4 linked regions of the Alligator mississippiensis genome follow. The protein of the gene in region 1 binds, or shares a complex with, the protein of each later gene. Links are inferred from orthologs where the notes say so. Each region holds a gene or a part of one and is shown on either strand. Other genes may lie near its edges.

Region 1 (6,983 bases):
TCTTTATCATTCACCCATGTATACTATAGAAAAAAAATACTGAATAAGTTATAGGGCCAGGACTAGCACTAGACCAGTGCTTCCCAAACTTTTCCTCAGTGTGACCCCATTTCCTCAGCATGCCCCCTCACTCCTAGCCTCCAGGCCTCCACAACCCCAGGTGCCCCTCACTCCCCAACCCCCACAGTGCCCCAGGGCCAGGACCCACAGCTCCCTGCCCCCCCAACCCCCAGCAGCCACCCACAGGAGGCGACAGCAGGTGTGGCCAGAGAGAAGTACGAGCCCAGCTGCACCCGCCCCCGCCCCCGCCCCCCCCCCCCCCCCTCCAGGCAGCACTACCCTGTGGAGAGGAGCCGGGGGGTGGGCAGGGATGTGGGCTGCCCATTGTAGGCAGGCTTGGGGCTCCCTGCCCTCTCCCCCCAGGGACCCCGTGGTCCAGTAGGCAGGACAAGGTATGAGAGGGAGTGCTGCACTGCCACAGCTGCCCAGGTGAGGCACCCCTGGCTTATCTGCCAGCAGTGAGGGCAAAACTCCATGCCACTGCAGCTGCTGTGTCTCACCTTGGCGGATATGGTGATGCAGCACTCCCAAAATGGGTCCCGTCCACTGGGCCGCAGAGGAAGCTCCTGCCCACAGCTGGTCCGGCTTGGCTGCACCCCGCATCCCACTGGGCTCAGAAATCTCAGGAGGCACGTTTATTGCCATCCCATCCACTGATGATGTTGCCACCCACGTTCAGGGTTTCAACCTACAGTTTGGGAACTGCTGCACTAGACAGTAACCACACTACTGGTAGTTACCTTTATAAAATTATGTAATAGTAAGCAGGCAGTCTTTCCATTTGAGAAACTTAAATCAAAAAAGCAGGAAAGGAATAAAAAGGAAATGGGAGATGTAATAAAGACACCTAAATGGCAAGCAGAGCACCAACACTGGACATCACAAACAGAGATGCCTCAGAATAAGAGGTGGTAAAAACAGTGAAGATTGGTAGCTTAAGGTAAATGAAGTAAATTCTAAATACAGATACCAATCTTGAAAATACAAATAGTTTTACTTACATGAATAGTCAACTGGATTACTCACATAAGTAAAGTTACACACACACAAATCTTTGCACAAAGTAGTAACTTTAACATTACACAGGTAAGGATAGAAAACCCTCAACAGCAACTATTTGGGTACATATTCTTTTTTTCACTTTCAAGCCCCTTTATCTGATCCAGTTTGGTTTTGGAAATCAAAATCAGTTCTAAATAGTGAGCCTTGAAAAAAGTTCTGTCAAAAGATGTCAGCTTCTACTTTGGAAATGTGCAGGTCCCAATATCTATGTATACTTAATAGAGTTTTTCTTTGGTGGAAGTTAATTTTTGTGAAGAATCTTAATGGAGTCATTCTTCAAATAACTGCAGAGAAGAGAAATTATAACAATGTTCTAACAAGAACCATTCTGAAGGGGAAAATGATGACAATGCTCAATTTTTTGCGAGAACTGATCTGTGTGTGAACATTCTTCACCCACAAGCGCAGCTTTACATGCTCAGTAACAAGAACCGTCAGCTAATGTAAAAAATAGTCTTAGCTTAGTATCATGTCCCGTCCCTATTAGTTTACAATTAGTTACAAGCATTCTGAGATTTTAATAGCTGAACAGAGCAGATTGTTAGGAAACTTGTGTAGTACATTGTCTTTGGCATAGTCTGCTGCAATCTAAGTGTCACATTTTTGCCACTTCTAATTTTTTTTATGATGTATCCCTATGAATTGTTTACAACGGCCATGGCCGCTTGGAATTGCTTTTTTTCACTACAAAACAAGAAATCTGAACAGCATGACTTATTAAGCAAATAATTTCTTTGGTGACCACCAGCCATTCTTCAGCAGAGATACCCAACTTTCTCAGATGCAGTGGTCCCCTTTGACATTTATAGTTGATATAATTATCAATAATTAGAAAGCGAGTCTAAAATAGAGAAGCTAGAGCTGAATCAGACTCCTCAGCAGAACTTCATCAGCCTGCCAATGTAAACAACTCTTTTATTTAATCAGCAAGCCTTAGGGGCGAGTAAATGTTCCTCAGCATGAGACTTGCTGCTGCAGTGAGGTCAACCAGGGAGCTCCAACTTCTGTGTGCAGGCAACACCTAGGGGCCCTTTGCCACTCACCATCTAGGCTAGGGTCACAACCCCTCCCCTAAAGCTTGAAATTCAAGTCAATGGAGTCTCCTCTTTAATGTGTAGGTGCGTGCAGGTACGCACAGGTATACGTACACACAGGCACACGCACAGACGCAGACCCACGGGCACACAGGCACAGGCACATCCGCACAGAGAGGCCTGCGGGCAGGCTGCAGCGCAGCAGCCCCACTCGCTTTAGTGGGCACAACTGTCAGAGCGGCGGAGGGGAGGGCCCAGGCCGGGCGCGGGCCCAGGCCGGGGAGGCCGGTACTGGCACCCACCTCTAGGCCCGGGCAGTCGCGGCCCCTCACCTCCCCCCGGGCAGCCTGGCGGCGGTGCCCCCACACCCGCGGAAAGGGCCGGGCCGGGCCGCGGCGCGAGGGGGGGCCGGTGCCGGCCTCCGGCGGCCGCTCGAGCGCCGTGACAGGTCGCGCCGGGCTCGTAACAGCCGGACCCCGCGGAGGCCGCCGCTCCCCCGACCGGGCCGGGCCGGGCCGGGCCGAGCCGGGCACTCACGGGGAAGGCGCGGATCCGCATCTTGGTGTCCTTCCGGCTGCCCGTCCCCTTGCTCAGGTTCGACATCTTCGGGCGCGGAGCCGCCTGTGGGCGCGGGCGGGTGGGCCCGGGCCGGGCTCCGGCGACCTTCGCTCCGGACTGCGGGCCCTGGCGGAGCGGGGCGGGTGGCGGCGGCGGCGCAGGCCCCTTCCTCCAGCGGCAGCGGCGGCGGCGGCCCCCTCAGCCTCCTCCTCCTCCTCCTCCTCGGCCGCGATGGCGGACAAACATCGCGCAGTGCGCAGGGCCGAGCGCCCCCGCCCGCCAGGCGCGCTCAGATCCGGCCGCGGCGGCGGCAGCAGGCGGAGCGCGGCCGGGGGGAGGGGGCGGGGCCTCCCGCTCTCGCGAGACTTCCGCGGGACTGTCGCGGCCCTCAACTAGGCCCGCGACCCCGGCCGGGGGGTGTCTGGTCTGGCCCGGCCGCTGCGTCGTCAAATCTGGTACTATCGGACCGTGCGGTTTTCACTGTCAATAAAGCCCCAGGTCCGGGAGTCAAGGGAGTGCACCAGCTCCCGGGGTTTCATTGCAAAGAAAAGCAGGAGTCCTAGAAAGTTCAGTTTGTTGGGAGCTGTTTTTTGCGGCGCTGGGAGTTTGTCATGGCCGGGCCTTCCCGGGCAGCAACAGCAGTGGGAAGTCTGCAGAGTGGGGAGGAAGCTAAGGCAGACGTAGTCTTAAACACAGGGTCAAACCCAGTGAAAGGCGAATCAGGCAAAAGCCAATTATAGCTCTATGGAAGATGGGGAAAATAACTGGACAGACATATAGGACCTTTCCTGTTTTTTGCAGGCTAAATTTAGTTCCTCAGAAGTCAGTTATGCCCTGCTAAGGGTGCACATGCACATACCACTGCTGCGGTACCCAAGCAAGCTCAAAATGCACTGGATCTGGTATCGGAAGCACTAAAACCAAATGAGCGCTGTGCTCCACCCAAACTAAATAGGCTTGTGTTGTGCTGCGTAGGAATAGCCTGAGTCATGACACCGATGGGTGTTGTACTCTTTGGGAGACTCATCGAGTTATGTCGCAATATATTTGTTTTCCTTTCTCTTGCTGTTTTCTTTGCTCGTCACAAGAAACGCCTGAGAAATGAGGGCACCACTTGAGGCAACACCTGTGAGTGCATGAGGCTAAATATAGGTCCCTTGAGAATGGGGCAGTTGCTATAATCAGAGAATCATAGAGAAAAGGTGGGAAGGGACCTCCAGCCATCTTCTTGTCCAACCCCCTGCCAGAAGTAGGATCATCTCTATCTAAACCATCCTACTGTCTACCCTTTTAGCAAAACTACAGTCAACCTTGATGCAACCACAAAACATAACACCTGAACCTGCCATCTTTAAACAAGGTGACCACGGCCATCGCTGTCCTTGTTGGAAAAGTTGTTAAAAAAGCTGAAGAGATCCAAGGAAGAGGACCACACCCCCAGCTACAGAGGAAGAAAAAAACCCTCACAGTCCATGTCAATCTGACTTGTGGGTAAAATTTCCCTATGCCAAATTTCAGTCTGACCCTGAGCAGAGGGGCAAGACCCTCTAGCCGGAACCCCCTGTGTGTAAGGCCCATTAGGAGCCTTGGCACACACAAAATGGGGAAGGACAGCTTGTATATATCAGATTTTGTACATTTGGGGAGATAGGGTTGGCCTCATATTTGTGTTTGTCACTCTAAAAACTAGCAGGTGCTTGAAGTTTGGGCCTAAGTGGCTCACTCAGGATCCCACACAAGTGGTATATAGCACAGCTAGGAATAAGAGGCCTACCTAGTGACTTCCAAACTCAATTCTGCCTACTGCAGCATTCTTTCTCCTATGATCTCCAACCATTTTCCTAGTACTGCCCACACAGTGCAATATGTATACTAAGAGCACAGTAATATATGTGTTCATCCTATAACTTTTCTTTACCAAGTAACTTGCTCTTTTGTCTCTTTCAGTTCCAAACCACTACAGTTCCTTGGGATTATGCATGTTCCTATATTTTAAACCTCCTGTTCAGAATTACTTATATACCTAAAGAAGACATTATATAACAACAGCACAACAAGATTAAGACAACAGTCTTAATGATTTCAGCACGACCAGGCAAAACCATCCAGCCGTTCTCAGAATACATAGGAAACAGTCACAAGGTATGACAAGGCAAATGGTAGGAGGGGCAAAGTTTTCCTACTGACTGCCTACATGAAAATAAAAGATCCACATACATTTTGAATTTCCATCTCATTTTGGAGCTTAATAAACAAATGCCACCAAATTAAGGCTCAACAAGGAGTCTTTTGTCTAAAAGGAATACAAAAAGTTTAGAGGGAGATCTTTGCCTTAAACTGCAGGTTGGAGGCGGTTGCTTCTACTAAGAGAAGGCGAGGAACCTTTGAGGCCTGAACTGTAAGGGCACAGTTATTTTCTTTTATTTCCTTTGTTGAATACAGTGAGTGGGCAGAGCAGCCCAAACTTTTATTATAAAATGATTCCAAATAAAGGACTCTGTCTTCTTGAACCTTGAAAGAGGTATGGCTGGAGCTTGCAGTAAATGAACTGGCAAAAGGCACAACCAGCTCACATAGATACAAGAATTTTCTAAGATTTTTCTCATCCCAAACAGAGAGAAAAAGGTCAATCTCACATTTTCATGAATTTTAATAATAATTCAAAGTTGTTTTGATCCATAAGTCAGAGACCTAGTTCACTGAAAAGTTTCATTTCAGTTTTGTTTTGACCTTTTCATAATTTTTATAGTTTTAAAATAAAATAAACTTTGGACTAACCTTATATAATAGTGTGTGTGTGTGTGTGTGTGTGTGTGTGTGTGTGTGTGTGTGTATAAAAAAAATATAAAAAATACTAATATGTAATAGTATATATATGTGTGTGTGTGTGTGTGTGTGTGTGTATAATACTATACAATAATACATATACATACATAATACAGTATACTAATACTATACAATATACTAAGAGCCAGGCGAAGAGCATCAGAAGCTCTAAAAGCTTGGCTCCAGTACAACACATTATTTGCATTTTTAATTAACAATTTCAATGAAATCTCCAAAAACAGTATCTTCTTTTTTTCAAGTTAATTTTTCTATTTGATGACTCAGTACTGCATGGTTGAAGCTAATGGGAAGTATAATTTGAAGGGAGAGGTGGAGGGAGGGGGAAATCAGGCTTTCGGTATCATACCAAAGAGTTCTTAGGTATTAAAGAAACCAGATGCACATTTCTTCCCCCCTCCCCACCAGTTTTGCAACATGTAACATACTGAATTCATTTGTAATAGAACCTTTGCTTGCAGAATTCACAGTTTTTGAATGGCAATAAACTATTGCTCCTAAGAATCATAAAAATTACCTTCTCTATGCTATGTTTCTCCTTACTTTATATGAAAATCAGACACATTTCAATATTTTGTTCCAGAGTAAGAAGGAAAAAATAATATGAAGTGTCTATGAGAGCAAGAAAGAATGACTAACCCCTGCAAACACCCAAATGCTTAAGTTAAGCTGTGGTTAAGAGTTTCAGGAAGTAGGCCCCATTTTATAACTTTCTGCATCTGAAAAAAAATGAACAAAATAGCTGCTTCCTGCATGGTGGGTGAAAAGGAGAGAGGTTCCTTTCCCGTTAAAGTAACATATAAAGATAGAAAAAGCATTTCTTTTTTAACTATATATCTATTTGAATAAGATGCTTTTTTTTAGGTTTTGCATTAATTCCATGTGGTGCATTAAGATTAACACAATAGTGATCGTAGAAACAAATAAATTGTTTTCTCAATCATGACTTTTAAAGTCTATGAAAAGAACCATGTTGATAACAGCACAAAATAAAGCATAACTGAAAAAAATCTAAAGGGGATACAGCAAAATAAGTGTATGCTATATATGTACTGAAGTCAGCTAAACAGAAGTAGACTGGTTTTCAATGTATAATAATTTGGGACCCAATACTGGAGTCCTGATTCAAGCAGATTTGCTCTCAGTGTCACATCTGGAAGAATATGATATGGCCCAATGGAGCAAATGGCACTTTTAAACACTTAAGTCTCCTTGATTGCAAAAGGAGTTCTGGATACGGTGGGCAAGCAAGGTCCAAAAAAAGTAGAATCTTAGGATCATCTGAAAGTAGGACAAGAAGTGCATGGACGTTTGATTCCCTGGGGACAACTAGCGAGGGCACACCTTGTGCCACTAGTTGTTCCTGGGGAATGCCCATGCCACGTGCACTTTGGCATGTGGCAAGTTACCTGGGGTGCTGGTGGC
Region 2 (7,368 bases), on another chromosome or scaffold:
CTGAAAAAGCCCAAAGTACTTAAAAAACACACCAGTGAGTGCAAGCCTCTCACAACATTACCCAAAAGAGATATACTATCAATTACTCTCAAAGAACCTGCACTCTTTCTTCTAAGAGCAGCAACATGGCTGAACAACCTCATTTGGAAAAAGAGCAATGTCAAAGAGGAAAGGCTATTTATTGTTCAGTAGCGTTCCTGTAACCATATAACACCCCGTATTGAGTAACTTCATTTTCCCATGAACGTGGAACTGATTTATGCCTTCCTATGCTCATTCTTATTTCACTTTATCACCTTAAGAAAATACACAGATCAAAGGAAGATACCATCTGAACCACCATGATCTAGCAACAAGTAGATCCTAGGTCCAGAGCTGTCTATAACTGCACACACATGATCAGTAAATGATGCAGACACACAGAGTGCTAAAGCACTTGTGGGGTCTGCTGGAACACAGGAGTTTTGCTATGTCTGCACTTTGCCCAAATCCAGTTCCACAAGAACTGTTGCCTTCCTCCCATCCCATAATGGGCAGAGGGAAATTCAGTATCCACAGCTGAAATGATCATTCACCTTTCTGCAGATAATGCCAACATAGGAACAAGGAAATGATGCTTAGTTTTTATCCTGTCATCATTGGACACAATTACTGAAAATGAGCTCCTTTTTTGCCAGCCAGCACGGAGATACTAAATGTGAACTGCTCAATTAATTTTTTTTTAACAAAGAGTACATATGAGGTTTCTGTTTAGAATTCTGTCTGTTCTAAATCCAGCTCCAGATACAACTGTAAGAAAAGCTGTCAGCAACAATGAACCTGAGCTCAGGGGTTGGCATCCCTTGGCATGCATGCCAGAATGTGGCATGTGAAGGCATTATGTTTGGTATGCGTGCCTCTGGGCCCATGGAGCCCCAGCCTGGCTCACTGCAGGCGGTGAGTGTATGCATGCCTTTGGGGGATGGGGATGGAGGTGGGGGGTGGGGAAGGGGCCAGGGCTGCATTGCCACAATAAGAATCGGACACCTTACAACTCCCCCCCCCCTCCCCCCCGGTGTGCATAAACCTGGTACTGGCAACAAGCTGGGTTGGGGATGCAGTTGCTTGCAACCTCCTGCCTGCTATGGGGCTGCTCACACCAGGCAGCAGGGAGGCTGCCAGCAGCTGCACAGGGGTCCATAGAGTCTCACAGAGCCCCAGCCTGGCTCATTGCCCATGGCAGGTGCATGTGCATCTCAGGGGTGGCGGCAGGGAAGGGGCCAAGGCTGTACTGCCACAACAAGAATCAGACCTCTCACAGCTCTACCGCTGTCCACCCCTGGCACTCCAACTTCTTACAAGTCAAGGTTGCAGTGTTTTTGGCACTCTGCCCAAAAAGGTCGCCAATCCCTGCCTTAGCTGGGCCTTGCACATAATATTGGATTTAAGACGGTTATAGCACATAATTGACCAAAAGCAGTCAAACAGAATCTCTCATTCTCTGCCCACTATGGCTTGGTGCAGTACTTACAGGGCTACAGCCTGGGCATGTATCTGTAAAAAACAAGAAGCAAAATCCTGCATTTCTTTAAAAAGGGGGGGGCTTTGTCATTCCTCAGAAGGAATAAGCTTCCTTTTACATAAATACTTCCATATTTTACTTCCAAATTAAGATGTTCTTTGAAAGTACCCTGATACAGTAGTGCATTCTTTACCAATGTCTGTACACTGATTATTGTTCAAGACTCAGGATGCACACACTGCCTCCGTTCGTTCTTTGACAAATTCAAATGTTACTTACTAGAGTCTTGGCACACAATACCCATATCAGGTAAGGCAAATAAATACACAAATATACAGAAAACACAGTTACAAGGCAATACCATTCCTTGCCAGTGCTAATACATCTATTAACCACAGCACTCCCAGCTTTAAATGAGTGATGACATATTACTTCTATAACACAATATGTGGCAAGAAAGCTACACTGGCCCAGAAATGCAAGCTACAATCATGTAAGCTGAGAGCTCAGAATTCATGTAATTTGAATGATGCATGCCATGTGATTCAGTCAGTGCCTTCCCATCATCAAACATAATTTCAGCACTACACTAATGTGATTCATCTCCTATGCAAAATAAAACTGCATGTAAACGTTTTGAGGGATGCTGCCAAAGTTGCAGAAACTAAACTTAGATCTATTGACTGTGAGCTGAAATCAAGCACATGTTTCTGACACATGCCTCTTCTCTACCCTCTCCTTTTTCTGAATAGGCAATGGCTTCAGGTACACCTTTCTCCGCACGTGGAGCAGCTCTGCCACTTCAAGGCACAGAGGATATGACTACCGAGAAAGGGTGAAGAAGATGAAGCCAGACCGTTTGGAAAACAGCTTCCCAATCCGCGGGTTCCTCGTCAGCCCCGCTGCCCCATCTTACACCTCTTCGTTCTTTATTAGGACAGTCATCCCGGGCGGGGCAGGCAAGCGCGATGCTCGCGGGCCGCGCAGCCCGGGACAGTGGGTGCCATGGCCCCGCCCGCGCACGGCTCAGGGCTGTGCCGTGCTCCAGGCCCCAGCTCGGCTTCGTGGCCCGCGGCCGGGCTCGCTGCCGGGGCTCGGTCGCGTGACGCGCTGGACAAGGGCCGCGGGCCCGGGCGCACCGAGGAGCCTGCGTGGGGATGGGGCGGCCCCGGCCTCCCCGTGAAACCCGCAGACCAGCCCCTGCCCCTCTGCAAGGAGCGCGAGCCGCGCCCAGGAGGCCGCTCCGAGCCCACCTCACCGCTCGCCGCCGCCTCGCACCCCTCGGCCGGCCGCTCTGTGGCGCGCGGGCCCCGCCGGGAGCCGTCGTTCTCCACGGACTGCGCCTCCCGGCAGCCGCCGCGCGCAAGGACCACAGCTCCCGGCAGCCGCCGCGCGCCCGCCGAGCTCCGCGGGGCCGCTCGCGGCTGGACTACAGCTCCCGGCAGCCCCCGCGCGCCCGCACGGCACCGCCCCGCCCCTCTGCTCGCCGCTCCTCCCGCCGGTACCGTGCGGTTCCAGGGTGGCGGCTCTGCCGGGCGGCGCTGGACCCGGCTCGTTGGCGGCACCCCGCGCCAGGCCCCGGAGCCAGACCCAGACCCGGACCCGCCCTGCCCTGCCCCTGCCCCTGCCCCGCTGGCGGGCGGCTGCGCCGGGACATGGACTCCGACTCCTGCGCCTCCCCCTTCGCCCCCGAGGTAAGCCGGGCCCCCGCTGCCCGCCCCGCTGCCCGCGCCGCCCCGCCGGGCCAGGTCCGGGACCCCGCTCCACACCCCGGCCCGTGCCCCCGCCGCCTGGCGGAGCGGGCCACGCCGCCGCCCCGGCGGGGCCCCGCGGAGACCCGGGTGCGGACGCTGAGAGCCCGAGCCCTTCTTCTCCTTCCCCGGCCGCCGCCCTTCCCCGAGCCCCGGCCCGGCCGCGGCCCCCGGAGAGCCCCGCCCCCCGGATCCGGGCCCGCACCGAGGCTCCACCCCCGCGCGGGTCCCCGGGGGGCTCCGCGCCCCGCACGGCCCCGGCTCCGATGCGGACTGCAGCGCCCGGCTCCGGCCTCCCCTCGGCCCCGCACCCCGGCGCGCCCCTGTCCCGGGGCGCCCCACCCCGCCCCGGATCGGGCCCTCCTCCATCACGGACCGGCGGGGCGGAGCCTGTGGCCGCCTCCAGCGGCGCTCGCGACACGGGCATGGCTTCCCGGGGCTCCGTGCGCAGGGCTGGGGCGGGGGCAGCGGCGGGTGGTGCCCGGAGCCTGCCTTGGCGCTTGGCAGTTTAGTTTTGAACGTGGATGGCGATGGGGTGCGCCCACATCCCCCGCTCCGCTGCATGTCGCGGGTAGGGGCAGGCATTGTACCGCCTGGGTGCTAGATGGTGCGCCGGGGTCTCGAGACCGGGTGTCCGTGCAAGCCCCGAAGAAGCTCCTTGTGTCCTAGCAGAGGCTGCATGTGCAGTTATGGTGCCGTTTCCAGCAGCTTTGAGGTCTGGGTAGGAGACATGATGGAGACTTTGCACTAGGAAGAGAACAGCAATCCCCGAGTTGAACTCCTTGGTTGCATTAGGAGAGACGGGCTCCACACTAGCTGACCAGCTACATTTTGCTAACTGTTTAGCTTCTTCACTGTCTTCAGTACCAGTTTTTAGGAAAGTGATGCCATACAGTACTAGACCCTGAAGGTGTTAGAAGCCACCCTGGGGACAGATGTGGAAACAGCTGGAAGAAGAGCTAGAAACACCCAAGAATTTGATAGTGGCCGAGAGACCAGATAAATGTGCTAAATTACAGGATGGCTTCATAGTGCCTTGCATTTTGGCTCATGAAAGATGCACTTACACAAGAGCAATGGTAGAATAAGAGCTATTACTATTATTACTTTCTCAGAGATGGACAATTAGTTGCACAAAGTTGTTCCCACTGCCCTTCCCCAAAATCTCAAGTTAATGTCCTGGTCACTATTTTTTTAACAGGATTTTTCCCCAGGCTCCAAGAGACACAGAACCGTGGAAGATTTTAACAAGTTTTGCACATTTGTCTTGGCGTATGCTGGTTACATCCCCTACCCCCAAGAGGTAATGTGTAGCCCCTTATTTTATCACAGGTACATGCCAATGTAGCTATTACTGGTGGGAGGCTAAAGGTTTTCCTGCATGTGTTGGAAAAGGTCTTCCTGGCAGCAGCTCAGAAAACTAAGATAATGTGATGATCTATGCAACATAAATACCTAAACGCTAATTTTTGTGTTTAAAGGGGTTGGGTTCTGTGGAAGCTTTTACTGGGTCAAATGTAACGCACTGAAATGTGATAGTCCAAAAGAAACTGCCAGCAAATAGCCTTACGTTTAGAAAGTTTTAAAGGTACAACAGTTGGTCTTTTATGATATGTATGTGTTTCTCTTTAATCAAAAGTGAAATGTCTCAAACCTTGTTTGGCTTGAAGAGGCTGAACAAAGTGTAAAAATCCAGTCTTGAATTATTTGGGTGGTGGGCACTCTTTGTACAATGCCACAAGGTTACATTTAAGGTATTTGAAGTATGTAGTGTCTGTGCCCCTTCCCAGACCTCTGGGGCCATAGAGTTCAGAGCTTACTCATTTTGAGGTTGTTTGGCTTCTCCTGGGCTGCAGTTCCTGGCAGAGGCCTAGGTTTCAAAGCATATGGAAGGGAGTGGGAATTTTAACTCTTCGAAGTTGCCACACAGCACTTGACTGAAGTCCCATAAACACTAGGCTGTACTAGAATAAAAAATGGTAAACACTATAGGGTGGATAGGTATCAGCTCTAAAACAATGCTTACTTTTCTTCTCTTAATATTTTATAGGAGACACCCTTGAGGAGCAGCCCCAGTCCTCCTAATAGCACTGGTGGGACCATTGACAGTGATAGCTGGGATGCCCGATTCAATGACCTCCCTTCTGCTGTCTCCCTGCCAGTCAAGAATAGAAAAAACTTTAGTCAGCTCAAGAGAACAAAACCATATGCTTCCCTGTTCCAGCGAGCAAAGCCTAGCAGTTTCCTGCCAGAACGAAAGCAAATTGATAAAATCAGGAAGAAGAAAAAACTGAAGAGAAGGGAAACAGAAGTGCCTGTGGAGAAAGAATATGAGGAGAAGCTCCTGGACCTCGAGGTGGAGGACTCTTATGTAGAAACCCCCATGAGCCCTTCATCTGAGGGTGACCCTCAGTCCGTGACCGACCACTGTTCGGTGTGGGACTCTGATAGTCCTTCGAATGTCTCTTACGCTGCTGCTAACTCTGAGCAGGCTGTGGAGATACACAGTGTGGGCAAGCGAACAGTCATCCGGCAGGGCAAGCAGGTTGTGTTCCGGGATGAAGATGGCACTGGAGATGATGAGGACATCATGGTGGATTCAGGTATGTGGTTGGGGGGGCGGGATAGTGGGAGATGTTCTGTGAGACAGTGGGTCAGACTGTTAGTGATCCCATGCACAGTCTTTTTGTAGAATCTGGAATAATGCAGACTTATCTTTTGGGAGAGGGGGCTGAGAGCTAAATTCATTAGCATTTGCACAAGCCTCTTAGCTCTTTCAAAAGAAGGTGGGCAGAGAAGAGTTTTACTGCTCAGTGACCAGTGGCCTGAATTACAGTGTCCAGGCTCAGGCTAGAGCCCTTTCCATGGGATGAATTTTCATGTAAAGCTGGACACGGGTCAGAAGCTGGTTTTGGAGCCGAGCACTTCTCCTGGGGCAGCAGTCCTCTTGCACTGCTGAGATTCTGTACAAGAGCAAAGTGCAGGTGGCAATGCAGACTGCAGCTTCCAGCATGCCCTGGAGAGGCCTGCATACAATATCAGCCTTCAAAACCTCAAGATCTAGTTATGTCCAAGAGGGAAGAGTTGAGATACAGGTGAGATGCAGTAGCGACATGGAGGCAGGTAGTTTTACCTTGCTCTTTGTCTTTCCAGATGACGATTCCTGGGACCTAGTCACCTGCTTCTGCATGAAGCCTTTTGCTGGTCGGCCAATGATTGAGTGCAATGAATGTCACACCTGGATCCACCTCTCCTGCGCCAAGATCCGCAAATCAAATGTCCCGGAAGTCTATGTTTGCCAGAAGTGTCGGGACTCCAAGTTTGATATTCGCCGTTCAAACCGCTCCCGGATGGGCTCACGCAGGCGCTTTCTGGACTAGCCAAGGGAGCTGCCTGACCAGCATGCCACTTGAGCAGATTAACCATGCAAAGCACAGAACTCCAGCCAACTAGGTCTAGGAGAGCTCCTTTGAACTGCATTTGCTCAGGCAAAAGGGGGCTGCCTGCCTGTCCATGTTAACAGGCACAAGGTGTCAGAAAGTCTCTGACAGCCAAGGCTGGAAGAGGCCTGCTGGTCAAAACTGCTGCTAGACACTGGCTAGCTGTAGCAGACAGATGAAGCACCCCAGGTACAGAGGGGTTTTTGAACAGTTAAGACTACAAAGGGGATGATGTCTGGGAATGTGTAATACTTTTGCCACATGTTAATTCTCATCCCACTGGGAAAGTGCTAAGAAACTGCAAGACTTTTATGTGTTAAGTCAATCACCTCCCAAGAGGGAGGAGGAAGAAAAGCTCTGTATGACAAGTCTGAAAAGCTACTGGCCATATGTTTTAATTTTAATGTAATACTAGACCCCCCCCCCACCACCCATTTGTCCATATATAACAATCTTAAGTATTCCTAAGGCCCATGACAGTGAGTGTGAATGCTCACTGAACTCGCGTGTGATCTGCCTCTGCTTTGACAGGGCTGAGCAGCAGGCGCAGCATTCGTTGAGTTCTGTGGTTTTTAGCATTTGCTTCCAGTAAAAAACAATGATTTCCTGTTGCTCCATGTACTGATATGTTTGAGGGGAGAATAAAGCCTCTCCTCTCTTCAGGTAGGCAGTGGTG
Region 3 (7,262 bases), on another chromosome or scaffold:
TTCTCAAAGAGCATCTGTATTTTTTTAAAACCAATTACCGCTGTGTAGTTTTGCCAAAAACACCCCACAGATCTTTTGCCAAAACCAGGTCAGATCAACGCTGAGCAGAAAACTGCAATTCTGACGTAAGCTAGGTAGGTTGCAAGGTGCGAGCCACTCAGACCAAAGCCCCAAATCTGCATACGTTTATGTACATGCACAACTTGTACCCGTGCAACTGGCCCTGCTGAACAGCTTACATGTGTAACACACGAGTACTGGCAGGTCTCGAGCTTGGGTCTGAAGCGATCTGAGGTCTCGCCCTCTTAGTTGATTTAAAAATAGGTTAGTTAACAAAGGGAAAGAGGGATCCATTTAAACTCCAGAGGCAACCCCCTACCCCCATCACACACATCCTAACAGAGGTCATATCTGAGACCTTAATTATTTATTTGGGTTTTTAAAGTCTTCCAGCCAAACCTCTGAGCACATGCATGAGAGTAACAGCAGAACCGCCACCAAAAAAAATACAACCTATCACCAACCTGATACATTCACCGTCCGACACGCTGAGATCAAGTACCTGACGGCATCATTTCAAGACCTATTCATTGCGTTTCTCAGCGCACACTATGCAGCTTTTGTGGCGTTTCTGTGACGTGCTCTGGTAGAATGGGGAAGCCTGTGAATAACTCAACTGTCTCCTCCGAGAGGGCAAAACTCCAAGTTACTGGTTCAGATCATTAAAGAGCCTCGTCTCCCAGCCCTAAACGTCAGCCATAGTTTGTTAGTTTGGGTAATTATATTCCGCTGACCTAAATCCCCCTGCAGTTTCAATTAGATGCTTCACTTTCAGAGGCTAAGCAGACATACAGCTTGTGACACCTCTTCGTTCCCTGAGGCCAGTCTAAAATGACGCTGAGAAAAATCGGAAGGGTCACTCTAAAGACAGCTGTGTTCCTACCGTGTCCTGGACAACCAGGCCCCAAACTGAACAGAGATTTTTGAACACTACCGTAACAGAAGTGATTAACGGTGATGATGACAACAATCCCTTGCCCGTAAGGTCAAATGCTGGGATAAAGAAGCACAAGGCTCCAGCTTCCTCTCCTGTCAACTCTCTCCACCACTAGATTCATGGCAAGAACTGGAAGGAAATGACATGAATCTAGAAAAGAACGAGTATACGATTCGAAGATGCTAACGGTGAAACATCCGCAGCTGGCCATTTAAACACCGACTGGAAACACTACATCTAGGATGCATTAAACAGCAGGACATCCAGGCTGAAAGTTGCATTTTGAGCAGTAAGTAAGTACACAAACAGCAGTTGCGATCCTTGAGTCACCTGAGGGTAGAAGCTCGCCTTTCGGTATTTGGGCAAAAAAGTGGCTACAGGGAGAGTAACTGGTCCAGAAAGTACAGCAGGGTTTGACCCCCCCAGTTCACTTCAGATACAGGGCACTGGAGAAGCAAAGTTTTCTCCAACCTGCAAAGGTTGGCAGCTTCCTTCAGCAAAGGCTTCCCTGCCCCCAGATGCAGGAGGTCACAGGCACAGCTCAAAAAGGAAGCACTCGGCATATCCTGTTTTCAGAAATGACTAGCTTCACGCTTGGTTTTGAGCGGGAAGGTGTTAAGACTCTGGCGTAAGAAAGTCACAGGGACAGCCGAGGAAAAAGGCTGGGTAGAGCACAGTAAATATTTAAGATTCCTCTGGTATCTATGAAGTTCCCAAGCAGCAATAACAAGGCTCGGTACTTGTGCTAGGTTCAAGGCGCTGTTCTAGCCACCGTACAGAAAACAAGGAGTTAAGGGCCGATTTACCGTATAAAAATCAAGCCCGTAGCTACTGGGGTCTCCCCCGCCTGTCATAAAGCACGGGTCACTGGTTTTTGCTTACAGAGGACGTGTAAATAGGCTGGCAGGCGCTTTGCAAACTTGGTCTACTTTTGTTCATTAACTACAAATAGCACTAACGAGCGGACGGTGGGGCCAGAACTGAACTCCACCAGCAGAAACACAAGCGGGGGAGGAAAAAACAAAGAAAGCAGAGCGCAGGATTGTTTCGCGGCGCGGATCTGGTGGCATGAAGTTCGCGGCTCTGCCGCAGCAGGTCAAGCCACGTGGCCTGCCAGCCCCCCTCGGGCTCCTCGTCACCTTGCCCGGGCTAATAAATGCATCCTAAGGGCTCGTACAGCAACCCTGTTCCATGCCCTGCAAAAACTAAATGGGTTATTGCAGCTCACGGCAGATGGAGGAGCTCCTCGCCGAGGATGCTGCACAGGCTCAGAAGGATGCAGAAAATAACGTACATCTGGGTGAAGGGGGTGGCAAGAAGCCCCTGTCCACACTGAACCCCCCCCCCCAGCTTCAGAGCCAACCGTGGCCCCCGAGGGACAGCAAGAGTCACCGGGATCAACTTGTGCCTGCTGCGCCCGGTGCCCGGGTGGCATCTCGCTGGCTAGCAGGCGGCCGCGGAGCAGCGCGCGGGAGGGGAAGCCGCGCTCCATCTCCCCTGAAACTGCTGGGCTCCTTTGGGTTTTAATTTAAAAAAAAAAAACCCCGTTTGTGGCTCATGTCCCCGGCTGCAGCTCACGTCTCCTTGCACACGCACGCTGCAAGGATCTGAAAGTGGGGGGAAGGGGCTAAATCTCCCCGTCCCCACACCGCTGAGACACGCACACACCCCCACGGAGACGCCACAGACACACATTCCCACAGACCCACACACACCTCCCCCACACACACCACACACAGCCACCGCCTACACCCCCACACACACCCCAGCAGCTGATCTGGGATCAGCTGCCCAGGGAGGGGGGGGTGAGGGGGCAGTCCCCGTGACCCGCGCGCACACACGCACACGCACACACACACACACCTCCCCCGCCGTCACGCACCTCTCCTGGTCCATGTCGGCGCGGGGCCGGGCGCTCAGGGCGCGCCGAGCAGCATGGCCGGGCCGGCCCCTGCAGCAGCAGCACGGCGGCGGCGGCGGTGGCAGCGGCGCTAGTAGCGGCGGCGGCGGCTCCTTACCCAGCGCTCCCTGCAGCCCCGCCCACCCCCCCCCACCGCGCCCGGTCTCCCGGCAACGCCGCCGAGCACCCCTCCCCCCGGCGGCGGCGGCGAGGCGGGCTGCGGGCCCGGGCCGCCGGAGGAAGGGGCAGCGGGCCCCCGCGGCCTGCAGCCTCGGCCGCAAGATGCCCGCCGGGGCTGGGGGAGCGTCTCGGGCCCAGCCTCGAAGGACTGAGCTGAACTGATTTGGCCCAAAACACGAATTAAAAACCAACACAAACCCGCCTGCATCGCCCCCGGGCTGCTCGGACCGTGCCGCCGGCCGGCCCCTCGCCCGCGGCCGCCTGGCGCGTCCCCGCCTGCCGCGACAGCAGCCCCAGACCCCGGCAACATGGATACACGGGTCAAGGGTGGGTTTGGCCTCGCCGTAGAGACGCGGGGATGCAGGCAGGATTTCACGTGGGAAGCCGAAGAAGCGCGAGGCTCCCCACATGTCCCCTTGGGAAGGGGACTCTGCTCCTGCTCGGTATTTCCAAGTGCCGTCGGGTCCCATCGCGTGGAGCCCCTGGCGCAGAGACCACCGGGGCGCTTTGCTGGGACCGGGGGCACCACCTCGGCCCCAGAGTCGGGTCAGGAACACGGGAGCAGGCCCAGGATCGTGCAGCTCCACCGCGTACAAGGCAAGCACGGGGGTCGCGGGGCTGCACCACGCGCCCCGGCACGAGCGCCGCTCCTCCACGCACGCTCGCGTCGCAGACAGAAGGCAAAGCGTGAAGCGCAACCAACTCCGAGACGTACGAGCTTATTATGCGCGTCCCTGAAATAGTGTGCAACGTGCAACTCTGCCCTGCCTTCGGCCGGACTTCAGGCTAACGTGGTTTACTACCTCCCCGCGCACTTTTCAGAGGGCAGCGTTCAGCTTTCCAAAGGTCCGTCTTCATGAAAACACCCCCAGACACTGCAGTGACAGGCAGCGATTGAGATCATTTGGAGAATGCTTCCCCCAATGCTTTTTGGCTGTTGCTTCTTTGTCAAATAGGTTGACAGTGCCAAGGTATTTCAACACCGGAAGTCAAGGCCAAAACTTTACCTGTAGCTTAGCTAAATGTTACTCTAGTAGAGCACTGGAGACGCTAGCAGTTTATTATAGAGTGAGTGTGTATATGCTGTATGTCCACTAATTTTGGCTGTTAATCATTTCCTAACAAGAGACCAATAGTGTACATTTCATCCATTCAGAGTTACGTACGATATGCATATCCTGCCAGGCCAACTTATCTATTATTTGATCAAAGTTTCTTCTAGACTCCAGATGGTAGCAGTCACAGTTTGAGCCCTCCAGCACTGGTTTTTACAACACCTCCCATTTTTATTCCAGCTAGTGTAACTGCTGGAGTGATTCTTATAATCATCTATGAATTTTCCAAAGCTATTATTTCCCCCATCATGTTCTGTAGCAACAAGTTCCAAAGGTTAATTGTACAGAGCACAGAGGGGAATTTGCTTTCTTGTTTGCTTTTCCATTCATTCAGCGCTCTTGTAGTGTGGGAAGAGATGTGCAGAACTGTCCAAAAGCCTTTGCCAAGCCATGTAATACTCCATCTCCTTTGTACAATTATATAACCCTAGCCTTTTAAACTTCCACCTTAATAGGAGGCATTCTATTGGGTACCTTCAGTCATTTTTAACTAAGTTCAATTGCTTTTAAATTTTATCCATGATAATAATTTAATAAATTGTCCTTCTACAGTGCCTTTTACCCAAGAACCTGTGCAAATATAACAGAGGTAAAACTAGATTTTATCATCCCTACTCTAAACTTAGGCATAGGGAAATGAAGTCAGCCAATGTCACATAGTATATGAAGGAAGGCTGGGAATAGCACCCAAGGCTCCTGCCATCTAGTCCCACAGTTTAAACAATTTTGCCTGTTTCCTTATAGACAAACACAACCAGAATTTCATACAGGATTCTGCAGACCCCCGAGGAGAAAGTTGCCCAGATGTTCCCTTTGGAAGGGATCAGTGGGAAGATTTTAACTCAGATCCTACTAGTGCCCATTTAGTCATATGCTCCCAGAACACAGCCCAAAGCTAGTAAGGGCATAAAAGCAAACAGCAAAAGTAACAACACTAAAAGCGGTAGTGAAATGAGAGCCCTTGTCCTTCTCTTTGAATGCAAAATGGCAAAGCTCCTCACTGATGACAGAAGGAGCACAGGTAGGTTCTGTGCCAAGCCCCTGAGCAGCATAGAGGTATTACACAAGTGACTACTAACTCACAAGGTACTCGCCTCTCAGTTTAAAGGCCACTGACAGAAGACCTCACCTCATGCACCCTAGTCTAGTGCCAATGACAAGACTAGAGCACTCGATGGGTAGCAAGTGCTGGGCTAGAACAAAGATACAGTCAAGGAAGCAGTGATTGTCTTTATAGCAGCCTTGTAAAACAGTCGTGCCTGGCACAAACTTTGCCTGCTACTTCCTACAAGATTGAGGGGCATGAAAATGAAGATATTTTACTCGCTATCCAGAAATCACTCATGCTTCGTGATGGGAATTTTCTCATGACTGTTCCAAGTAATTAGCAAGTCAAAGAGTTTGGAGGTTTCCTGAAGCATGCGTGTAAAGTTGGCACGTTCTGACTCAACATGTAGCACCGATTCCAAGCCTGCATCTTCAAGTCTTGGCTGCTCGTCAGGGTATTTTTATTTAGAAAAGTCTCTCTAACTTCTGGCATCTGTGATCCCTACCAGTAAAGAATCAAATCGGTGAAAGTCTGATGGGTCTCACTTAGATTGTAAACTTTAGGGCAGGGAGCATCAGCTCAAAAGCAACTATTGAAACCAGCCAGTTGATACTGGGGAGCCCAGCAGGGGATCTCTTCGACTTAATCTTCAGAAGTCTTCAGCCCCAGCAGCTCCACTGCACTTCAAGTGGAATCAAAAGTGATCAGTACTAAGTGTGAATGGGTCTGTTTGAATGCCCAAAGCTTCAAGCATCAAAGATCAGAGACATTTGAGGTGGAAAAAAACCAGAACAAAACCTAAATCTTATGTTTTTACTCCCTTTGTAACATGCTTATCACTTCTTTTGAGTACCCAAAGATATAATTTGTACTACTGTACAAATTTGCTGTAATTTAGAGCAGTCAGCCTATCTTTTGTCTTTTTCCCAGGATAAACCAAGGTAAAATGTTCAGCAAAACAACTCCTACTAGGATTAGGATATCCTTGTAAGGCCCCAAATTAGCAGGACACCCTTTGTGAGAATCCAGTAGGGATTCACAATAAGGCTGTTTGCAGATCTGGGGATCCATGTGTTTTTGGCAGCTTAAATGTCAAAGATAAACGCACTGGATTCATTACTGCACCCTTAAGGTTTTGACTCAGTTTAATGATAAGAATGTAGGCCTCATTTACTTATCTCCAAATGTCCTGTACTCTTTCTACACAGGCAGCATGGAAAGATCCTGCGTAACCCTAGACTCAGCTGCAGCAGAAAAGAAAAAAAAATGATGGTAGATGAATTTCTTTTTTAAGCTGCGAATGTTGCCCTCTAGCGGCAGATGTACAGTTATGTTAATCTTGCTTTACCACTAGCCTGCATATTACCTTGACAAAAATGCAACTTTTCTGGATTCTAGTACGCAGTATCAACCCTTTGCTCTATGTTTAAATGGTTTGCGTCATGCTGATACTCCTCCCCACCCCCCAAACTCTTCAAATTTAGAACATTATGAAGACAAGGAATGGCCACAATTGGAACCTGGCTATGAATTTTAGAATGCAAAAAAGTTACTGCTCTGCTCGCACAAGGTAACAACGAACAGCTAAGCTGCAAAACCATTACTACACCTTGATTTAAAAAAAAATAAATAAAAGCAAGTGTCCTCACCCACAGCCAAACACGGCACAGATGCAAACTGCCTTCCCTAAATCCATATTGCAACTATACCGGGGTCATCTGAAAAGGAGCGTCGCAGGAACATGTTACACTAGAGAGTAAACAAAGTAAAAATTAGCAGCAGTGGGAACACAAAATATGGGTGGAGGGGAAGGGGTAGATAAGGTGTGTGAATAAATACCTAAACAGGGTGAAATGCTTCAGGAAAAGGCGATGGAGGTCCATGTTCCTGTAAATGGACCAAAGGAAAGTGAAACAAACCAAATAATAAATCAACACTATGCTGATGCTACTAAAAGTGTTCTCTGTAGAAAAGATTGCCCTAATGGTTATATATTTGCCCCAAACTGGACATATGGGCACA
Region 4 (6,822 bases), on another chromosome or scaffold:
TCTCTGTTGTGGAGCTCTCCAAGCAACGTGCTTGCTGCCGCACTGCAGGGCATGTAGCAGCTATAAAGAGAAAGAGCTTGTGTAAAATCACCCATAACCACTCTCCTGCAAAAAAAACAAGGTTCAAGTCCCTTCTCTTCAGCAAGGAGTCTGTCTCCCTTCTGTTGCCTCCTCTTGGAGAGGTGAATCCCCTTCCCCTACCCAGCACACAGGAATGACATCTGGGAGCCCCCCTCAATATCAACAGAATCAACTTCATGAACCCAAGAGAAAGCCCCAGTGTGCTCTGCAGACAGGTACAAGTCACCATGGGTGAATACAGGATTTTGAAAAGGGTGGGGCAGGGTGCAAGGTGGTGCAGTGCATCATCACATATAGCCCAAACACATACTTCTCTCCAGTTAAAGAGAAACTTTTACAGGTTGACAAACTTGACAGACAGACATGGTGCTTTCCTAATATGTGAAGGGGGCTAGTATCATATTGTTGTGTTTAAGATCAAAGCAAAAACCAGCGTAGCTGAGAATGTACTGAGTTGCTAGATGATGGATCAAACATTAAAAAAAAAAACAAAAAAAAACAACACAGGAGGCAAAAAATCATGAGAAGACCCCAACTGTTAGCCTGGCTGGCATCATAGTTTCATAGTTGGTAGGGTCAGAAGGGACCCAAGCAGGTCATCAAGTCTGACCCCCTGCCATGGGCAGGAAAGAATGCTGGGGTCAAATGACCCTGACTAGGTGATTGTCTAGCCTCCTTCTGAAGATCCCCAGGGTGGGGGCAAGCACCACTTCTCTAGGAAGTTGGTTCCAGCTCCTAGCCACCCTGACTGTGAAATAGTGCCTCCTGATGTCTAGCCTGAACCTACTCTCAGCCAGCTTATGGCCGGTATTCCTTACAGCTCCCAGTAGTGCTTGGGGGAACAGGGACTCTCCCATTGCCTGCTGGTCCCCCTTGGCAAGTTTGCAGGTGGCCACCAGATCCCCCCTCAGGCTTCTTTTGTGTAGTCTGAACAGGTTCAGGTCCTGTAGTTTCTCCTCATAGGGCCTACCCTGCTGCCCCTGATCATGCAAGTAGTCCTCCTCTGGACCCTCTCTACGCTATCCAAATCCCTCCTGAAGTGCAGCGCCCAGAACTGGACGCAGTACTCCAACTGTGGCCTGACCAATGTCGCATAGAGGGGGAGGATCACCTGCTTGGACCTGCTCGTGATGCATCTGTGGATGCATGACAAGGTGTGGTTAGCCTTCCTGACTGCATCCCCACATTGGCAGCCCATGTTCATCTTGGAATCAATAATGACTCCAAGATCCTTTTCTGCCTCCATGCTGACGACAAGAGAGTTCCCCAGCCTGTAGGTATACTGCTGGTTCTTCCTCCCCAGGTGCAACACTTTGTACTTGTCCATATCGAAACCCATCCTATTCTCATCCGCCCACCTCTGTAACATGTCCAAATCTAGTTGTAGCCTGTCCCCCTCTTCTAACGTACTCACTTCTCCCCACATCTGGGTGTCATCTGCGAACTTGAACAAGGTGCTTTTCACCCCCCTCGTCCAAGTTGCCGATGAAGATATTCAATAGCGCAGGCCCGAGGACCAAGCCCTGGGGAACCCCACTGCCCATATCTCTACAGGTCAAAAATGACCCATCCAACACCACTCTCTGGGTGTGGCTCTCCAGCCAATTTGCGACCCATCTGACTGTGTAGGCATCAACACCACAGTCGCCTAATTTTTTAAATGAGGCTGGTGTAAGAGACAGTGTCAAAGGCCTTCCTAAAGTCCAGAAAGACTACGTTCACCATGACACCTGCTTTTGTGACCTGGTTGTAGAAGGCCACCAGGTTGGTGTGGCAGGACCTGCCTCTAATGAACCCACGTTGATTGCTGCTAAGCATAATCGCTCTTGCTGGTCCCTTGCAGATGTGCTCCTGGATAATTTTCTCAAAGAGCTTCTCCAAGACTAACAGGCCTATAGTTTCCTGGGTCCTCTTTCCTCCCTTTTTTGAAAAGGAGGACCACATTGGCCTTTTTCCAGTCCTCTGACACCTCACCAGAGCACCGTAAGTGCTCGTAAAGCTGTGCCAGGGGTCCCGCAATGACCTCTGCAAGTTCCCTCAGCACTCTGAGGTGGAGATTATCAGAATCTGCTGATCTGAACACGTCCAGTCCCTCCATCGTGTCTCTTGTTCAGATCTGTGAAACCAAATCTGGCCTCCACTGATAACTCTGAAACTCATGCTAAAGTGGGGCCTACACACAAAGTTAAAATACAAAATACTGATGCTAACTGCATAGTGCAAGAGGACGCGAGTTCATGGCAATGCCATCTGGGAAGCAATAATGAGGTATCCTTTCCAGCTTACCTTACTATATTCATGGTGATTACAAGCAGACTCCTAGTTGTCTGGCATGTAACCATGTGAAAGGTCTATCCTTGATTGGTAAATATTTCTCTTGCAATTAACTCATGTTTTGTACAGGAGTCATTCTCCATATATGATAGATGTCTTTTGATTTATTTCTGTTTTGTCTAGTGGTTCCCTTAATTTTCCAAAGACGCTCCCAAAAACCTTGTGTTTTTCCTGGGAGTTAATCAGTTTCTTGATATGTTCCAAACTTAGTAGAAATTGATCTCTCATCACTGAGAAAGGTCATTCATTCAAACTGGAACTTTCTGATAACCAATAACAAGCAGTTTGATCAACAGGATTTTCCTGTCAATTACTGCTTGGGACTCTCTTGATTTACACAACCAAAAGAATGCTTTGAAGATGCTGGACTAAGAGTATAACAACAAAGTGAAAACAGCTAATGGCAGGCACTTCAGGAATGAAAGATCTCTCTAACAAGAACCGCAGCTGCACCCCAGCTATCTCGAGAAGCCAGAAGAAACAGACCATCTCTCGTCATCTATTTGGTGAGAAATCATCACCTTATAGCTAATTACTGGCCTTTGTTTGGGTTTGGGTTCATTTGACTTTGAATACTTGTAGTAAATAAAGCCTTTTTATCATTCATCCACTCCCTAGGCTATTCCGGAATCCTAGTTTTTTATCAGCTCACACCACAAGCATCCGGGCAGCAACCCCGGGACTCCCTGGCCAGTCAGTTTAACATCCGAGTTTGCGCTGACAGCTTGTGCTCGGCCGCGACAGAAAAGAGAAGCGCTGCCAGGAGGGGCCCACGAGAAGCCAAAGAAAGGGCAGTGTGAGCGGGGCCAGGGGCGCACCGCCACCAAAAAGAGAGGGGCGGATACACTTGCGCAGAGGAGCAGGAGTCGGGGAATGACCCTGAGCCAGCGAGGCTGCGGCGCGTCCCAGCCGGGAGGTCTGACAGGAATAAAACGGAGAGGAGGGGAAGGGCGACTGCCCCACTACGCCCTCACCCCGGGCCTGCCTCCTCCCGTGGACTGCCCCACTCCGCCCTCCTCCCCCGGGGGCTCTGCCCTGGGCCCCGCCTCACCTCGGAGCCCAGCCCGGGCCAGGCCCCGCGCCGCCGCCGCCAACATCCCGGCCCGGCCCCGCACCGCACCGCAGGCACAGGCACACAAGGGCACGGACCGGAAGCGGAAGCTGTGCCGCGCGTTTCCCCGCGCGGCGGATCGGAAGTGTGGGGTCCGACGCGTTTTGGCTTCCCCCGGCGGCTTCCGGTGGCGGGGCCGGAAGTGGTGGGCGCGGATCGCAGCCGTGAGGTGCCTGGCGGGGGCGGCGGCTGCTGCAGCGCTGTGGGGTTCCCCCGGGCCCGGGCGGCGGCATGAAGGGAGGGGCTGCAGGTAGGAACCCGGGGCCCACCGCCGGGTCCGCCCTTTTGTCTCCTCGGCCCCTCAGCGGGCAGCGACTGGGCGTGGGGCCGGGGCCGTCAGAGGCGAGTGCCCGGACGGGCCCGCCCGGGAGGCTCCGAGACGCCTCAGAGGGCGGCTGTTACCGAGCCTGTAGAGGCGCGGAGCTCCCGCCGCGGCCCGGAGGAGGCTGCAGCTGATGCCTGGGCCGGGAGGAAGAGGTAGGAGCGGCAGGGAGGAGTCGCAGGTGCCCCCGGCGTCGGGTCTGCAGGAGTCGGACGCTGCTGTTCCCTCGCCACCCCCCCTCCCCCCCCCCCAGCCGAGTCGTTTCTATTCAAAGGGCCGATACAAGGGCTGCCCGGAGTTGTTCTGCCCGGGGGCTTCTGCTAAGGGGCCTGGCCCCCGCAGCGCCTGGCCACCATGAAGTCATGCATCACGTGATACGGTTGGCATCCCTCCCTCCCCGCTGGCTCTTTCCAACCTGCCCTTTGCTAGGGGGGAATTGTGTGCGCGATGCCTGTACTCCTGGTATCCCCGTCACATCCAGCTCTTTACTTTTTGTTTTGGAGAAGGTAAGATTAACAAGGGGGAATCTCATGCTTTAAGATGAAGGCAAGAGGTTTGTTGCTCTTAATTCCTGGTGGAGTTTGTTCTAGAGTTGGGTACCAGCCTTTGAGAGAACTGCCTCCTGCCCCAGTGAATGCGACTTCTATTGTAGAGCATTTTATGTTAGCCAAAAGGTATTGATTCATTCGCATTCCAGAGCTTTAGGGGATCTTGTCAGGTATGTTAAGCTCAGGCTGCTGAATTTACTGAAGATAAGGTACCAAGACCTTGAACTTGAATTGCTAGGCTAGTGTAGAGGACACAGTTGTGCTTGCAGTAGCTTCCCTGCAGAGGAGGAGAGTGCTGGTGTGTTCTTTGCTTATTGAAATTTCATATGAGATGGCTTCAGGGCCAGATGTGTGACACTGCTGCAGTTCAACCAGGAAGTCACAAAGGCATATGACCGAGGCCAGGTCATCAGTGATGGGATGGAGTTGTTTTTCCAAGCCTAGATGATAGTAAGTGTTGCTTGTGAATTTAGTTTTAGCAAAGAACCCAAGAATACTTCTAACCCTCTGGACTGAGCTGAGCAATTGAATGTGAGCCTTCAACTAGAGGAGACTGCACAGTGTTTACCAACTCCTTGGGTGAAATCTTGGTCCCACTGAAGTCATTAAATAGTGTTGGATTTGGAGTAATTTAGTCTTAATGATACTGACTGTCACAGGTAGGGCTGGAAATCTAGTCTGCTGTAGTATGGAAGAGTTTAGAGCAAGTTTAAACACACTTTTTAAAAATGAGACCATGCCCTACTCTGTTGAAAGGAAACTTCTGGGGTGCTGACACTAGAATTATCCAACAGCTTAGCAGGAAGTATATGAAGGAAGAGCAAGTAGCTTTTGCCCTTCTTAACAACAGCTCCTCTTTAGAGGAGCTGTTTTGCCAACTGCTGGGATTCCACGTGTAATCTTTGTTCTGTCAGAGAGAGACTACTCTGTCATGTCACTTCTCCCTGTCAGTGGGGGAGCGCACAGATAATTGCACCTTCTTAGTTGTTATGAGTAGTTCTTTGAATATGCTTCATTATCTAATCCATCTAGGTTGGGCATGGGCTCTTCAGAATGTGCTTCATATTTGACTCTACACAAACTGCATCCCATTCTTATACCTTTGGCAAGTTTCTCATCTGAGTGATTTTAGGACTTTGATAAAGTTTTGTAGGATTTTTTTCACCCTTTTATCAGTAGAAATAAGCTCCCTCTGCATGTTGGCTCCGTATGATGCTATTAACTGTAGCCTCTGCCCCTTGCCAATATATCACATCTCAGCTTTGTTTCTTCTGTACTACCTATAGACCTTTCATAGTATCTTTAATTTGTTGGTTTCTATAACAGGGTGTGGCCTGAGGCCCTCCTCAAGCTCATTGCTGTTCTCTAGGAATGACTTCCACCTGCGTGTCATAGTGGTGCCTGGTTTGTCTTAAATCAGAAGCAGTGCTGCTGGCTCTCCTTGAAGATTCCCAACTGCTGCAATATGGACTCTAACCTTTTCATAATCCTGAACATCTGTGTATATCATTACTCTGTATGTGTCTTGAGCTTCTCCGATTGAAGGTTCCCAACCAGGATGCCTGTGTATCCATGCTCCACTGGGCTGCCACTGTTGCATGCTCAGGTGCCTCTAAGAAAAGCCTTAAGGTCATTATTCTGGGTCATCTTTTCTAGGATGAAGCCCCCTAGTTCTCTCCAGGATGTATCCTCTGGGTCCTGCTGTCCTTGGTCCTGGGTGGTAAAGCACTCTATTAACATCTGCTGCTGGGTCAGCAGGGCTCATTGAACCTCAGCTTGTAACTGCCATCTCAGTGTTTCCTCTGTCGTATTCTGTTGCCCCTGATCACATGGAGCAGCAGGTCCCGATTCTTTTAGGCCTATTCTAGGGGTGCACCGATAAAGGTTTTTTGGGCTGATACCAATGGCCAATATCAGCCAATACTGAACGAATTGCCAGCATGCAGCCTGGCAGCTTGGCGAATAGCATCCAGCTGGTATGTCTGTTGGGGAGGGAAGGGGTGGAGGGGGGGCAGATTGAAGCCCCTGCAGTGAGTGAGGTAGTGGGGATGAGGCAGGGGCAGGTGCTGTCTAGCCAGGGAGGGGTGCAGGACAGAGTTGTGTGGCTTATCTGGGGGTGGGGGGGATCCCACCACTACACACATCCCTGGGGGAGCCATGGGGGGCATGTGGCTCCCAGTTCTGTGTGTGGGGCGAGGGTGGGTTGCCGCTACGGGCTGGGGCTGGGGGCATGCCAGGCTCTCCCTGGTGTGGGGGCTGGGCCAGGGCCGTGCTTGGGGCAGGCAGTGGCGGCATGGGGGGGGTGTGGGGTGGGCTACAGCCACCCCAGCATTCGCCATAGCCCCCCTCCCAGCGCCACTGCTGCCTGCCCCGAGCACTGCCCCAACCCAACCTCCCCACTGGGAAGAGCCCAGTGCTGCCCTCGG

What was found.
Region 2: CUL3 (region 1) and KLHL21 share a complex: the UniProt entries of both Homo sapiens proteins name them as parts of the BCR(KLHL21) E3 ubiquitin ligase complex. The link is inferred for Alligator mississippiensis from reciprocal best matches to the Homo sapiens genes CUL3 and KLHL21.
Region 3: the proteins of CUL3 (region 1) and KLHL3 are in contact, whole or in part, in a crystal structure (PDB 4HXI), measured with the Homo sapiens proteins. The link is inferred for Alligator mississippiensis from reciprocal best matches to the Homo sapiens genes CUL3 and KLHL3. Residues at the interface, in NP_003581.1 of Homo sapiens: Ile44, Asn49, Ser50, Gly51, Leu52, Ser53, Phe54, Glu55, Leu57, Tyr58, Arg59, Tyr62, Thr63, Leu66, Lys68, Met118, Asp121, Ile122, Met124, Tyr125, Arg128, Val129, Gln133; in NP_059111.2 of Homo sapiens: Pro73, Tyr74, Ala77, Met78, Asp82, Met83, Ser84, Glu85, Glu92, Ile93, Lys94, Asp95, Pro125, Ser128, Leu129, Gln131, Met133, Arg136, Asp160, Val161, His162, Thr163, Thr165.
Region 4: CUL3 (region 1) and KBTBD4 share a complex: the UniProt entries of both Homo sapiens proteins name them as parts of the BCR(KBTBD4) E3 ubiquitin ligase complex. The link is inferred for Alligator mississippiensis from reciprocal best matches to the Homo sapiens genes CUL3 and KBTBD4.

What each region holds. Positions count from the first base shown.
Region 1 is NC_081830.1:51,714,464-51,721,446, forward strand, and holds the start of CUL3 (cullin-3), read right to left. Parts: upstream 3,016-6,983; 5' UTR 2,760-3,015; coding exon 2,694-2,759; intron 1-2,693. UniProt on the Homo sapiens protein: Core component of multiple cullin-RING-based BCR (BTB-CUL3-RBX1) E3 ubiquitin-protein ligase complexes which mediate the ubiquitination and subsequent proteasomal degradation of target proteins.
Region 2 is NC_081836.1:18,625,865-18,633,232, forward strand, and holds the start of KLHL21 (kelch-like protein 21), read right to left. Parts: upstream 3,001-7,368; 5' UTR 2,755-3,000; intron 1-2,754. Other genes in the region: PHF13 (PHD finger protein 13), read left to right, coding at 3,157-3,195, 4,454-4,555, 5,303-5,855, 6,406-6,632. UniProt on the Homo sapiens protein: Substrate-specific adapter of a BCR (BTB-CUL3-RBX1) E3 ubiquitin-protein ligase complex required for efficient chromosome alignment and cytokinesis.
Region 3 is NC_081832.1:72,935,454-72,942,715, forward strand, and holds the start of KLHL3 (kelch-like protein 3), read right to left. Parts: upstream 3,004-7,262; 5' UTR 2,894-3,003; coding exon 2,880-2,893; intron 1-2,879. UniProt on the Homo sapiens protein: Substrate-specific adapter of a BCR (BTB-CUL3-RBX1) E3 ubiquitin ligase complex that acts as a regulator of ion transport in the distal nephron.
Region 4 is NC_081825.1:228,510,907-228,517,728, reverse strand, and holds the start of KBTBD4 (kelch repeat and BTB domain-containing protein 4), read left to right. Parts: upstream 1-3,800; 5' UTR 3,801-3,981; coding exon 3,982-4,003; intron 4,004-6,822. Other genes in the region: NDUFS3 (NADH dehydrogenase [ubiquinone] iron-sulfur protein 3, mitochondrial), read right to left, coding at 1-60, 3,467-3,512. UniProt on the Homo sapiens protein: Substrate-specific adapter of a BCR (BTB-CUL3-RBX1) E3 ubiquitin ligase complex which targets CoREST corepressor complex components RCOR1, KDM1A/LSD1 and HDAC2 for proteasomal degradation.